Drosophila melanogaster: one gene and its partner. The protein of the gene in region 1 purifies or fractionates together with the protein of each later gene. This does not show direct contact. Each region holds a gene or a part of one and is shown in the gene's direction. Other genes may lie near its edges. The genes, in order: unc79 and na.

Evidence for each region.
Region 2: the proteins of unc79 (region 1) and na purify together in Drosophila melanogaster (affinity purification with western blotting; one study listed by BioGRID). This does not show direct contact.

Annotation. Positions count from the first base shown.
Region 1 is NT_033777.3:19,243,117-19,248,294, reverse strand, and holds the start of unc79 (uncoordinated 79), read left to right. Parts: upstream 1-2,164; 5' UTR 2,165-2,257; intron 2,258-2,449; 5' UTR 2,450-2,503; coding exon 2,504-2,558; intron 2,559-2,623; coding exon 2,624-2,743; intron 2,744-2,879; coding exon 2,880-3,041; intron 3,042-3,094; coding exon 3,095-3,265; intron 3,266-3,330; coding exon 3,331-3,606; intron 3,607-3,666; coding exon 3,667-4,365; intron 4,366-4,416; coding exon 4,417-5,079; intron 5,080-5,135; coding exon 5,136-5,178. Other genes in the region: CG5217 (uncharacterized protein), read left to right, coding at 268-505, 617-1,026.
Region 2 is NC_004354.4:14,264,452-14,269,406, forward strand, and holds the start of na (narrow abdomen), read left to right. Parts: upstream 1-1,915; 5' UTR 1,916-2,257; intron 2,258-3,155; 5' UTR 3,156-3,201; coding exon 3,202-4,452; intron 4,453-4,507; coding exon 4,508-4,620; intron 4,621-4,681; coding exon 4,682-4,792; intron 4,793-4,856; coding exon 4,857-4,955. Other genes in the region: Tat (tyrosine aminotransferase), read left to right, coding at 1-287; CG13404 (uncharacterized protein), read right to left, coding at 1,117-1,250, 1,338-1,578, 1,639-1,728.

The DNA of each region.
Region 1 (5,178 bases):
CTACATGAGTTGTTAAAATTACAATATATATGTAAAGTACCAATCTCAAACTTATAAGGCTGTAAAATCCTTTTTAAACTCACTTAACTGAATTCTACTTTTCATAAAAGGTGACAAGAACTAGTTGACTCTGGATTTTCTGACACTTTGCATCTGGTGTTCAATTCAACAACACCAGTCACATTAATCTTATATTTCGTACAAAACCGAGCCATATTTTATTGTAAATAAAATTCGATAAAATTTCGGTGGACATATTGGACGAAGATGTCCAGTCTGCAAGATATTCCGCTTGCCGACCCCGAGGGCCTGTCTGTGGAAGGTCCCGAGGTGGCCCCCGCTCCAAAGTCCAATTCCTTGAAGCGCTTCTTTAAGATCAGCAAGAAGCCAATGATGCGCGACCAAGTGGAGGATGACGACGAGACATCCTCCCAGGACAACAAGGACCTGGGAAAGTCAAACACTATAAGTCGCTTCTTTACCCGGATGAAGGGAGCCAATAAGGGTAAGCTCTTTTGACTGGTATTAAATATGATTTGTTGAAAAAAAAATGATTGCCTAATGACTTACAATTAAAAGGAGCTCTTCTTGAATAATCATAAACCCCACTTGCCAGATGTTCAAGATCCTTCGAGCTCGGTGGTCGAACCCGTGGAGCAGGATAAGCCGTTGCCGAATGCAAAGCCCACGATTAAGACATCCATTTCATCCTACTGGAAGATACTGTTCAACCGGCAGAAGAGCCAGCGCCAAAACGCAGCTTTAGGGCAGACCAATGCCAATAAAGAGGATAACGAGTCTGAAGAAGTCCATGAACTGCAACCAGTAAGCCAAGATCCCGATACCGATCCTCAGCCGACAGTCAAGGATGAGCACGATGAAATGGAACGTGGCACAGATCCGGAGCCACCCAACCCGAAGCCCAACAAAAGTGTTGCCAGCAAGGCATCCGGTCAGGAGATTGTCAGTGCCTTAGAGGGCGGCCAGCTGTCTACCAATGATCACGAGAATGCGGCTTCCATTTAGCCGTCTTCAACTAACACTAATCAAACCCGATGTCTAGTATCTCTACCGATCTCGAGGCAAAGGTTTAGAAATCAGTTAGGGAGCTGATTCAACCTTACACAATATATACTCTTCAAACACATCCCTGCTAACTGACATACATACAAGAACAAACATTTTCGCTTTGATTCCACAAATGATAATTCCGAGCTCACGAAATAAACACATACAAGACCCCAGTATGTTGTCATGTCATCCTTTGTGGTAAATCCATCCGTTTTTGTTCGTCTAAGGGGTCACAGAGTTCAGTTAAATCGGTTGTTAAAACGTCTTCACTGGGGGGTTTTGATTACCTAAACGAGTTTCATGTTTTGCGTTGCAAACAGTGGGGTTAAAAGGTGCCGCATGAGCCAGACAAGCCCGAGAATTATTTGAGGTTTTCACTTTCGAGGGAAGCCCTAAAGATGAGCCACCCCCAAAAGTTGGCTAACTAAATCACGTAATGAGTATTTAATTGTTGGAAGGTGTGCTATTAAGGAATAAGGGTGCAGAAAGTTTTATTTTAAACTTTATTTCAGTATCAGTATACCAGTGCAAATTTCTTGGCTCAGTTCCAAAGAGGTAGATATAGATATATCTCAAGAATGAGTAGTTTTCTTATCTCGTGTCAGTACTTTGGAAAATCTGAAACACACCAGTTGCATATCAGGATAAACAGCTGGGCGATGTTTACCAACATTGAGCACAATCTGCGCAAACTCCGGACCCGACTGAAAATAGTAAATATTTACATTGGCTAGACCAAAACAAGCACTTGTTGAAAGCCGACCGGTGAGTGCGGCAAATGCGAGATAAACACGCGATATGCGCATGTCCTACTTCCGAACAGCTGTTTCTGGGGGCTGCTGTCGAGGGTGGGTGGTAAAAGTGGGTCAACTTACCCTACAACTTCAATTCCCTCAAATTCCCTTACATTTAAGCCAAAAAATACTAAATCACATAGCCTATTTAATAATTAAATATATTTGAAATATATTCTAGCTTAAACCGCTTGATAAAGTGTATGTATAAGCCTGTATAAAAGCCAAATTGGTAAGGAGGGGGTCAAGGGGCGTCCAACAGATAGCGAAATTCTTGCACAGATACACACCATAAACTCAGTTTAGTTATAGAGATTTTTCTTCGTGGTCGTAGCTTGCTGTAAAACCCGTAAAAAATTGCAAATCTATTGAAAAAACTAACCAATTTCGAGGTAAGTTGACCAAAAATATTAACTTAAGTTCGTTTCGCAACCGGATTGTATGAAAATTCAGAGTTTTCTATGAAATTTCGTGCGCTTGAGCACTTTTTCACTGGCAGCATCTTTCTGGGCGATACATTACGCAATTCTGGGCGTGAAATGTTAAATGTTTTCAAAATGCAATCCTTTTTTGCCTAATTGCAGAATGCGAAGTCCCTCGGCAGCAGTTTCGGCAATGCGAAGGATTTGTCTGATATAATGACTGGCAGCTTTAAGGTGCAACTCATCAACATGGGCACTCGCGCTGCCGCCTGTAAGTTTGTCCACAGAAGTCTCAACTTTCTAGGGTGCTCAAAGGACCTTTTTTTCTGCTTTCAGTTCAGGCAAAACTGAGAGCCCTTCATGAATACCACGTTCGTCTACTGCACAACGTCTTGCCTGCGCCCTCTGGCGTCGATATTGCTAACAATATCAAATACTTTTCTCAAACTCTACTAAGTAAGTATCTATAGAGGTTAGAGTAACCTATGTAATTATCTCAGTCCCAACTCTTGATAGTATTATTACCTATTATTTTGGCCTTGTTAGCATTTTCTAAGCCACCAATTTATTGGAAATATCTTTAAATTTACAGCTGTCCTTAAGGATGTGCGCACTTCGCCGCACGAGCTTATCCGCGATCCTCTTGAAGATCCCACTCGCATGTCTGCCTATCCCAATCTCGAATATGGCAACCTCTACAATGCTCTTACAATGCTCATCGATGTGGCACCTTGCATCCAGTACGGCCAAATCGGTGAGCTTAAGACATCTTAATGCTCATAATATTCTAATTAATTTTATTTTCAGTGTTCGGAAAAGCTCTATTGCAGTGCCTAAGCTGCATCCTTCCCTTTCTGGACAAAGATCTTATCGATAATCTACCCTATCTTGTAAGCTCTACTATATCAGTACTACCACCAGCGTTGCACCAATGCATCATCAATGCTCTATGCTACTATATCTTGCCTTTTACTATAAGTGAGTAGTGACTACTTCCCTAGTTTAAAGAAACTATTTGATAATTTTTAATTTTCAATCTTTAGCTCGTCGCAGCTCCGACGAACAGGAATGTCAGGCCTGCCAATCAGTGTCCTCGGTCATCATGATGGTGCTCCAGTACTCCAACAATCCAGCGCATCATTGCCAGCTCCTGGAGTGCCTGATGACTCTTAAGCACAATGTCGTCAAGGACATCCTCTGCGTTGTGGCATACGGAACCGCTGTTTCCCGCACCTCGGCTGCCAAGCTGCTCTTCTACTACTGGCCAGCCTTTAACGCCAATCTGTTCGATCGCAAAGTCCTACTCTCCAAACTAACCAGTGAGTTTATTTCATATGATTACTCCTATTATCTTACCTCATCCTTCTAATCCCGAATAGATGACCTAGTGCCCTTCACCTGCCAACGGGAGCACTGTCCGAACTCCGGGAATGCGGAGGCAGCAAAGGTGTGCTACGACCACAGCATTAGCATCGCATACGCGCCCGATTGTCCACCGCCCCTTTACCTGTGCATCGAGTGCGCCAACGAGATTCATCGGGAGCACGGAAGCCTGGAGTTCGGCGACATTCTGCATCCCATGCAGCAGGTATCGATGGTGTGCGAAAACAAGAACTGTCGCTCCAACGAGAAGTCCGCCTTCTCCATCTGCTTCTCCACGGAGTGTGCCAGCTTCAATGGCAACCATCCGATCCGCTACTGCAGCCAGTGCCACAGTAATAGGCACAATTCCCGGCGAGGTGGCGATCACGTGGTCCATCGCAGTCTGCAGCCCGCCTGGCAGATGGATCCAGAGATGCAGATGCACATGGTGGAGTCGGTGGTAAGCCTTCTGCGAGAGGCGAAGCCACTAAACTTTGAGCCCGGCAAGGAGTCCTCGTCGTCCGAGTCCAAAAAGAACGGCTCCGGCATCACAGCTGACAATATTTCTCTGGAGGAACGCCAGAGACTGGGACGCTATGGTATCTGGCTACTGGTGGGTCGCTGTACACCCACTGCAGATACTCCCGTAGAAGTTCTGGGCAGGATTCTGAGCATGCTCTTCCACTGGTTTCATGTAACCGCTTACTCATACGATGGTATGTTAAGATGAATTATTTTTACCATCAACCATCAACATTTGTTTTCAGCTGCCGGACAAGTGGAAAGTACCATTGAGAAGCTCAAAGTGGATCACGTTTGCAACTGGCTGAAAGACATCTGCCGCATACACTACAACGTTTTCATATCCTGCCTGCTGCCACATCCCCCGGAGTATGCCCGTGTTGGAGGCCACTGGGAGACCTTGGCGTCGCGAACAAGCCACTTGAAAGAGGGTCTTCAGCGGCTTATATGCCTGGTGCCATATGAGGTTATCACTTCCGAAATTTGGGACTATGTGATGCCGCACTGGATGGAGGCCATCACCAACGACGTGGCCGAGAAGGAACTGAACGAGCTGAAGATTGTGCTCAGCAAGATCCTCGATCCGGAAATGTCGCCTCTGGGCTTTGATGCCAAAACCATGTACAACTTTGTGGCCATTCGATTTGAGAAGACAACGGCAAAGGTGCAGCAGCAGGCACTCCACTGGCTGCAGATCCTCACCAAGCTGGAGATTCTCATTCCACTGGTCCAGTTGTTCGCCATGTTCGGCGATGGTGTTCGCATAATGAAATACGGCATCCAGCACGAGCTGATGCGCGAGAAGGATGCCCAATCTCAGTCCCTGGCCAAGGCTCCCAAGACCCCGTGTAAAGAGAGCAAGGAGACCAAAGCGGATATGGCCAATCCGCCCAGGCGTAGCTCTATTTGTGAATATGCCTTCCACTAACATTTTATCACTAAGTATAATACATTCTTTCAATAGCTCCTGTTGTCGAGGATGACTCTGGTAATACGTCTGCCATTTC
Region 2 (4,955 bases), on another chromosome or scaffold:
CCAATGGAGCCATGTACATGATGATAGGCGTGAGCATCGAACGCTTCCCGGAATTCAAGGACGACACCCACTTTGTCCAGGAGATGGTGAATGAGCAGAGTGTCTTCTGTCTGCCGGGCAGCTGCTTTGAGTACCCGGGATACGTGCGGATCGTACTTACTGTGCCCGGGGCAATGATCGAGGAGGCGTGCTCCAGGATTGCCGAGTTCTGCGATCGCCACTACAAAAAGGAGTCGCGCAATTTCATTGAGCACGGACTGCTCGACTGCGATGATGTGGCCTTTTGAGCTGGGAGCAAAACATTTATTAGATATTCTAGACTACAATTTTTATCAAGTGTACATAAGTGTATGTATGTATATATACTATATATATATATATATCAATCATTTTAACTATCCAATATAAGGAGTATTGTCTCAAAAAATTGCTGGAAAAGTAAAGCGCGTCACACACAGATAGATAGAGTTTAGAAAGAGCGAGTAAACTGCGGCTAAGTAAATGGTCATTATGGAGGACTTCTGAATATAAATATATATAATATAAATTTATATATATATATATAGGCCTATATTTGAGCTATCTGGCGCTGTAGGCTGGCTGGGGTTCTGTGCAAAAAATGTTAAACTTGGTGAAAGTAGTGCTCCTTTGGAACAGGATATGATATGATGATGCCTTCTTGCTAGTTACAATTATTTCTATTAGTTTCAAATAAATTTTCTGGCAGCCTTTATCTAACGTGTGATTTCAATTTAAAAATGCTGAACATTTTCGCATAAATTGGATTTAGATGTGTGTAATGAATGATATTTGTATGTATATTCGTTGTAAGAAATTTTAAAATGTTGCTTAATGGGCTGTGAAACGTAATTAGAATGCTGTTGAGTGTTGTGAAGTGTAATTGAATGGTCCCCACATTTCAGCATTCAACAGCACTGTTAATGCCAAAAAAAAAAAAATATATATTAAATTCTAGCTAAGGGGTCTTACAAATTTCTGAAACTCTGGGACAAATCCTGTTGATTGTGGAGTGTGTGTGTGTTTTTGAACGAGGACCTGAGCACGAGAACCCAATCCCACCTACAGGCTAACCGGGAGAGGGGCATCCTTTTGCCTCTACATGTGGTGCGGATGCATTTTCTTCTCCATTTCGGTCTCCACGCGGGCCTCATCGATTCCGGCAACAGTGGGCAGACCACCTGGCCAGTGGAGCAGCTCCTGCTCGTGTTCCATAATCATGTTCGCCTCCGCTACAATTGATGTAATCATCGGATAGGTTTGTATAAGATATCATCCTTCTAATGGCACTTAATCAAACAATCCTATCCCAGACCCACCTTGAATGCGATGCATCTTGCTGCCGTACGCCCAGTCCGTATAGTAACCCACGACGAAGGTGAGCGGCAGGAGCGGAGCCAGCGCGGATACCCTCCTGACCCTCTGGTAGTAACTGGCGCAGCCGTACACAGCACTCAGGTAGAATCCGCTCAGCCAGTAGAAGAGCTCCCGATGGTGGGCAATGGCCAGTGCCTGTTCCCGCTGCTTGATCTGGTAGTGCATCTGGATCCAGCGCTCCATCTGAGTGCGGTCGCTTTGGTCATGCGGGGTTTTGGGGATTATATAAAGCGGTGGACTCACCTTGAGCTCCTGGCACTTGCGATAGCTGGGATCATCGTGCTCCGGATAGCCACTGCCGGAGGTTTTCTTGCACGAGGCCGTGGCACCCATTTCGATGCGATTGCTGCTCGGATTTGTTGAAATCGCCGTGGTCGCTTGTTGGCCACTCCGCGCGGAGTTGCCACTCCGACACTGGTAACCGAATCGACCCGCGAAAGTGCGCAGGCGTCGTCCATTTTTGGGGGTTGCTCGACTTGGAACCAGAGCCATTCAAAGTGACGGCCCAGTGGAGCTGTCAGTTCAGTTGGCTGACTGGAGCACTGCCTGACTAAACAGACTGAGTGGCCGTAACTCCAAGTCTCCGCGTCCGAAAAAAAAACATACAAGAAAAAAAAAAAAAACAAAGAAAAAGGACTCTTTTACGAGGACCTCGGCGCGTGTTTGGTGTTGAAAGAAAAAAAAACGCGTTTTCCTTCCCGCACAGATTTGGAAAACCGGAAAGTGCGGCAACCGGATATATTCTTAGATTTCAATAGTCTCCCCAGTGCAATCCATTTATGTGGACTCTGTGATAAAAATTGCGCGAATCTTCGCCATCAAAAGTTAACCATCCACCAGCAGCCGCTCCATCAGGCGAAAAGTGAGTAGGCTATGTGTAGATAATGTGTTAGTTAAAGAGACAAGGTAAAAAAAAAGGCAAAATACCTTTACACAAATCGTACTGATTTGAGTTTTGCCCACTGAATTCGCTTTGAATTGGAGTGGGCATGGCTGCTTTTGGTTACTGCTCCTTTGGTAATGACAATGGATTCGCCAGTGGGGATGGGACTGGGTCGTATAGTACACATATCTACGCATATACGGCGAGAAGTGGTTGCTCATTCGGGGGTTGCAAGTGCCATCCGCCATCCGAGCTGACTGTCTTGATTCACACAGAAACAAATTTTGGTTGCTCTCGAAGATCTTTGTTGAAATTCCTATACAAAAAGTTGATGCAAACGATACACTCAAAACAAAAGCAGATCAATAAACTTGGCCTGTGGATTTGAAAAATTGGGTAAAACAGGCTAAAGATTATAAATTACATATCACAGGATATGCAACTAATGAATTGAAATGTCTGTCTATTGATTGATTCATTTGCATATATATTTTATTACTTTATAATATAACACTTTGAGCTATTTTAAATATTTTTTTTACGCAGTGCACTCAGTGCCTGTGTGAGTGGGTTTGAGTGCTGCACCTTCAGCCCACCTTGGCAGCTGTTCGAATGTAAATATTGACAAAGGTCTTGGCTCTAATTGCCGCCTAGTTGGTGGAGGGCATCCTTGGAAACATGGAGGTGCTAAATACTAATACGTAGAGAACATGAAACATAATATATATTGTACATGTAATTTATAATTCAATATATTTACCCTTCAAAACTTAAGAATAATCTTAGTAATGTTGAAATATGACAGCAGTTTGGCGGTTAAGTTTACTTCTAACTGATCTAGTCAAGTAACTAACTAATATGCCCCCTCTCCACACAGCAGGCATAACTTAGCGACCGTTTCAGGGTCAGGATGCGCCGCTTGAATGATTGACCGCCTACAGATTCGTCGCTTGGGTGCAGCTGCTAGAAACAAACGCGCAGGAGGCGGAGGCGGAGCTGGAGGCGGAGCAGTAGGCAGCGGCGGCGCCGGCGGAGGAGGAGGAGGAGGAGGAGCAGGGGCGGTACCGGGAGCGGCTGGAGCGGCGGGAACAGGACCGATCACTGGAGCGTCAGCAACAGCGGCCAGCGGATCCAGCGGCAGTGGTGGCCACCACCAGCACCACCACCATTCGCATCCGTATTCCACGAGCGGCATCAACACGCCGGCGACGGCCAGCACCAGTTCCTCCAGCGGCAACAGCTTGACGCCGCAGCAGCAGCAACAGCAGCAGCATCCACACCATCAGTCCCATCACGGGCATCACTACGCACACCATCAGCAGCATACGCATCATCACGCGCCGCCGCACTCGCACCATCCGCATCCACATCCGCACGGGCATCCGCATTCGTATCCACACCTGCGACACTCGCAGCCGGCGTCCGCCAGCCAGTTTAGCTTCAATCCATCGCCGGGTAGCAGTCCTGGCAACGGACTGGGACTGGGCGCTCGCCAGGATGCGGCCAGTGCGCTCAACAGTCCGACGACCATTGTGAACTCCGGTAGCGGCAGCGGCGGCGGCAGCAGCGTCGCCTTCGGAATGCAGCCGCAACAGCAGCAGCAGTCGTTGGCCGGCGGAGGAGGCGGTGGCTCATCGGCGACGGCGGCTCCATCTTCGGGCGGTGGCCACAACAATGGTGCCGGGCTGGGACCGGTCGTTGGTGGCGGCGGAGGTGGTCTCAATCTGCTCGGCGGACTGGGCGGCATGGGTGGCATGGGCGGCGGAGCAGCTGCCGCCGGCATGGGCATATGTGGCGGCATTAGCAGCACCGTGGGCAGTGCAGCCATCACCGGAGTGCCGCCCATTGGGCTGGGCATTGCCACCGGAATTGGCAACAAGATCATGCTGGGCCGGAAGCAGAGCCTCAAGGGCGGCGAACCTTTCCTCGCGGATTACGGACCGGAGGAATCGCTCAACGAGAGCGCCGACATCGAGTGGGTGAACAAGCTGTGGGTGCGCCGCCTAATGCGACTGTGTGCCCTCGTCTCACTGACCTCCGTATCACTGAACACGCCCAAGACCTTCGAGCGTTATCCGTCGCTGCAGTTCATCACCTTTGCATCGGACACGGCTGTTACGCTGCTCTTCACCGCCGAGATGATCGCCAAGATGCACATCCGTGGCGTGTTGCATGTGAGTCTGGTGCACTGAGAGAAATGCCATCTACTTCATCGATACTCTTTTGCAGGGTGAGGTGCCTTATTTAAAAGATCACTGGTGCCAATTCGATGCTTCCATGGTCAGCTTCCTGTGGATTTCGATCATTCTGCAAATCTTCGAAGTGCTGGAGATAGTACCAAAGTAAGTGGACGCCCCATAGTTATAATAATTCGATTCTAACAATATAATATATAATATATAGGTTTTCCTATTTATCCATTATGAGAGCACCAAGACCCTTGATCATGATCCGCTTCCTACGCGTCTTCCTTAAATTCAGTATGCCAAAAAGTCGTATTAATCAAATCTTCAAGTATGTATCTTGTAAACTTTAACAACATCATCAGCTATACTATATCATCAACTTTGATTTACAGACGTTCGAGCCAGCAAATTTACAATGTGACACTGTTCTTCCTGTTCTTCATGTCCCTATATGGTTTGCTAGGAGTTCAGTTCTTTGGCGAACTAAAAAA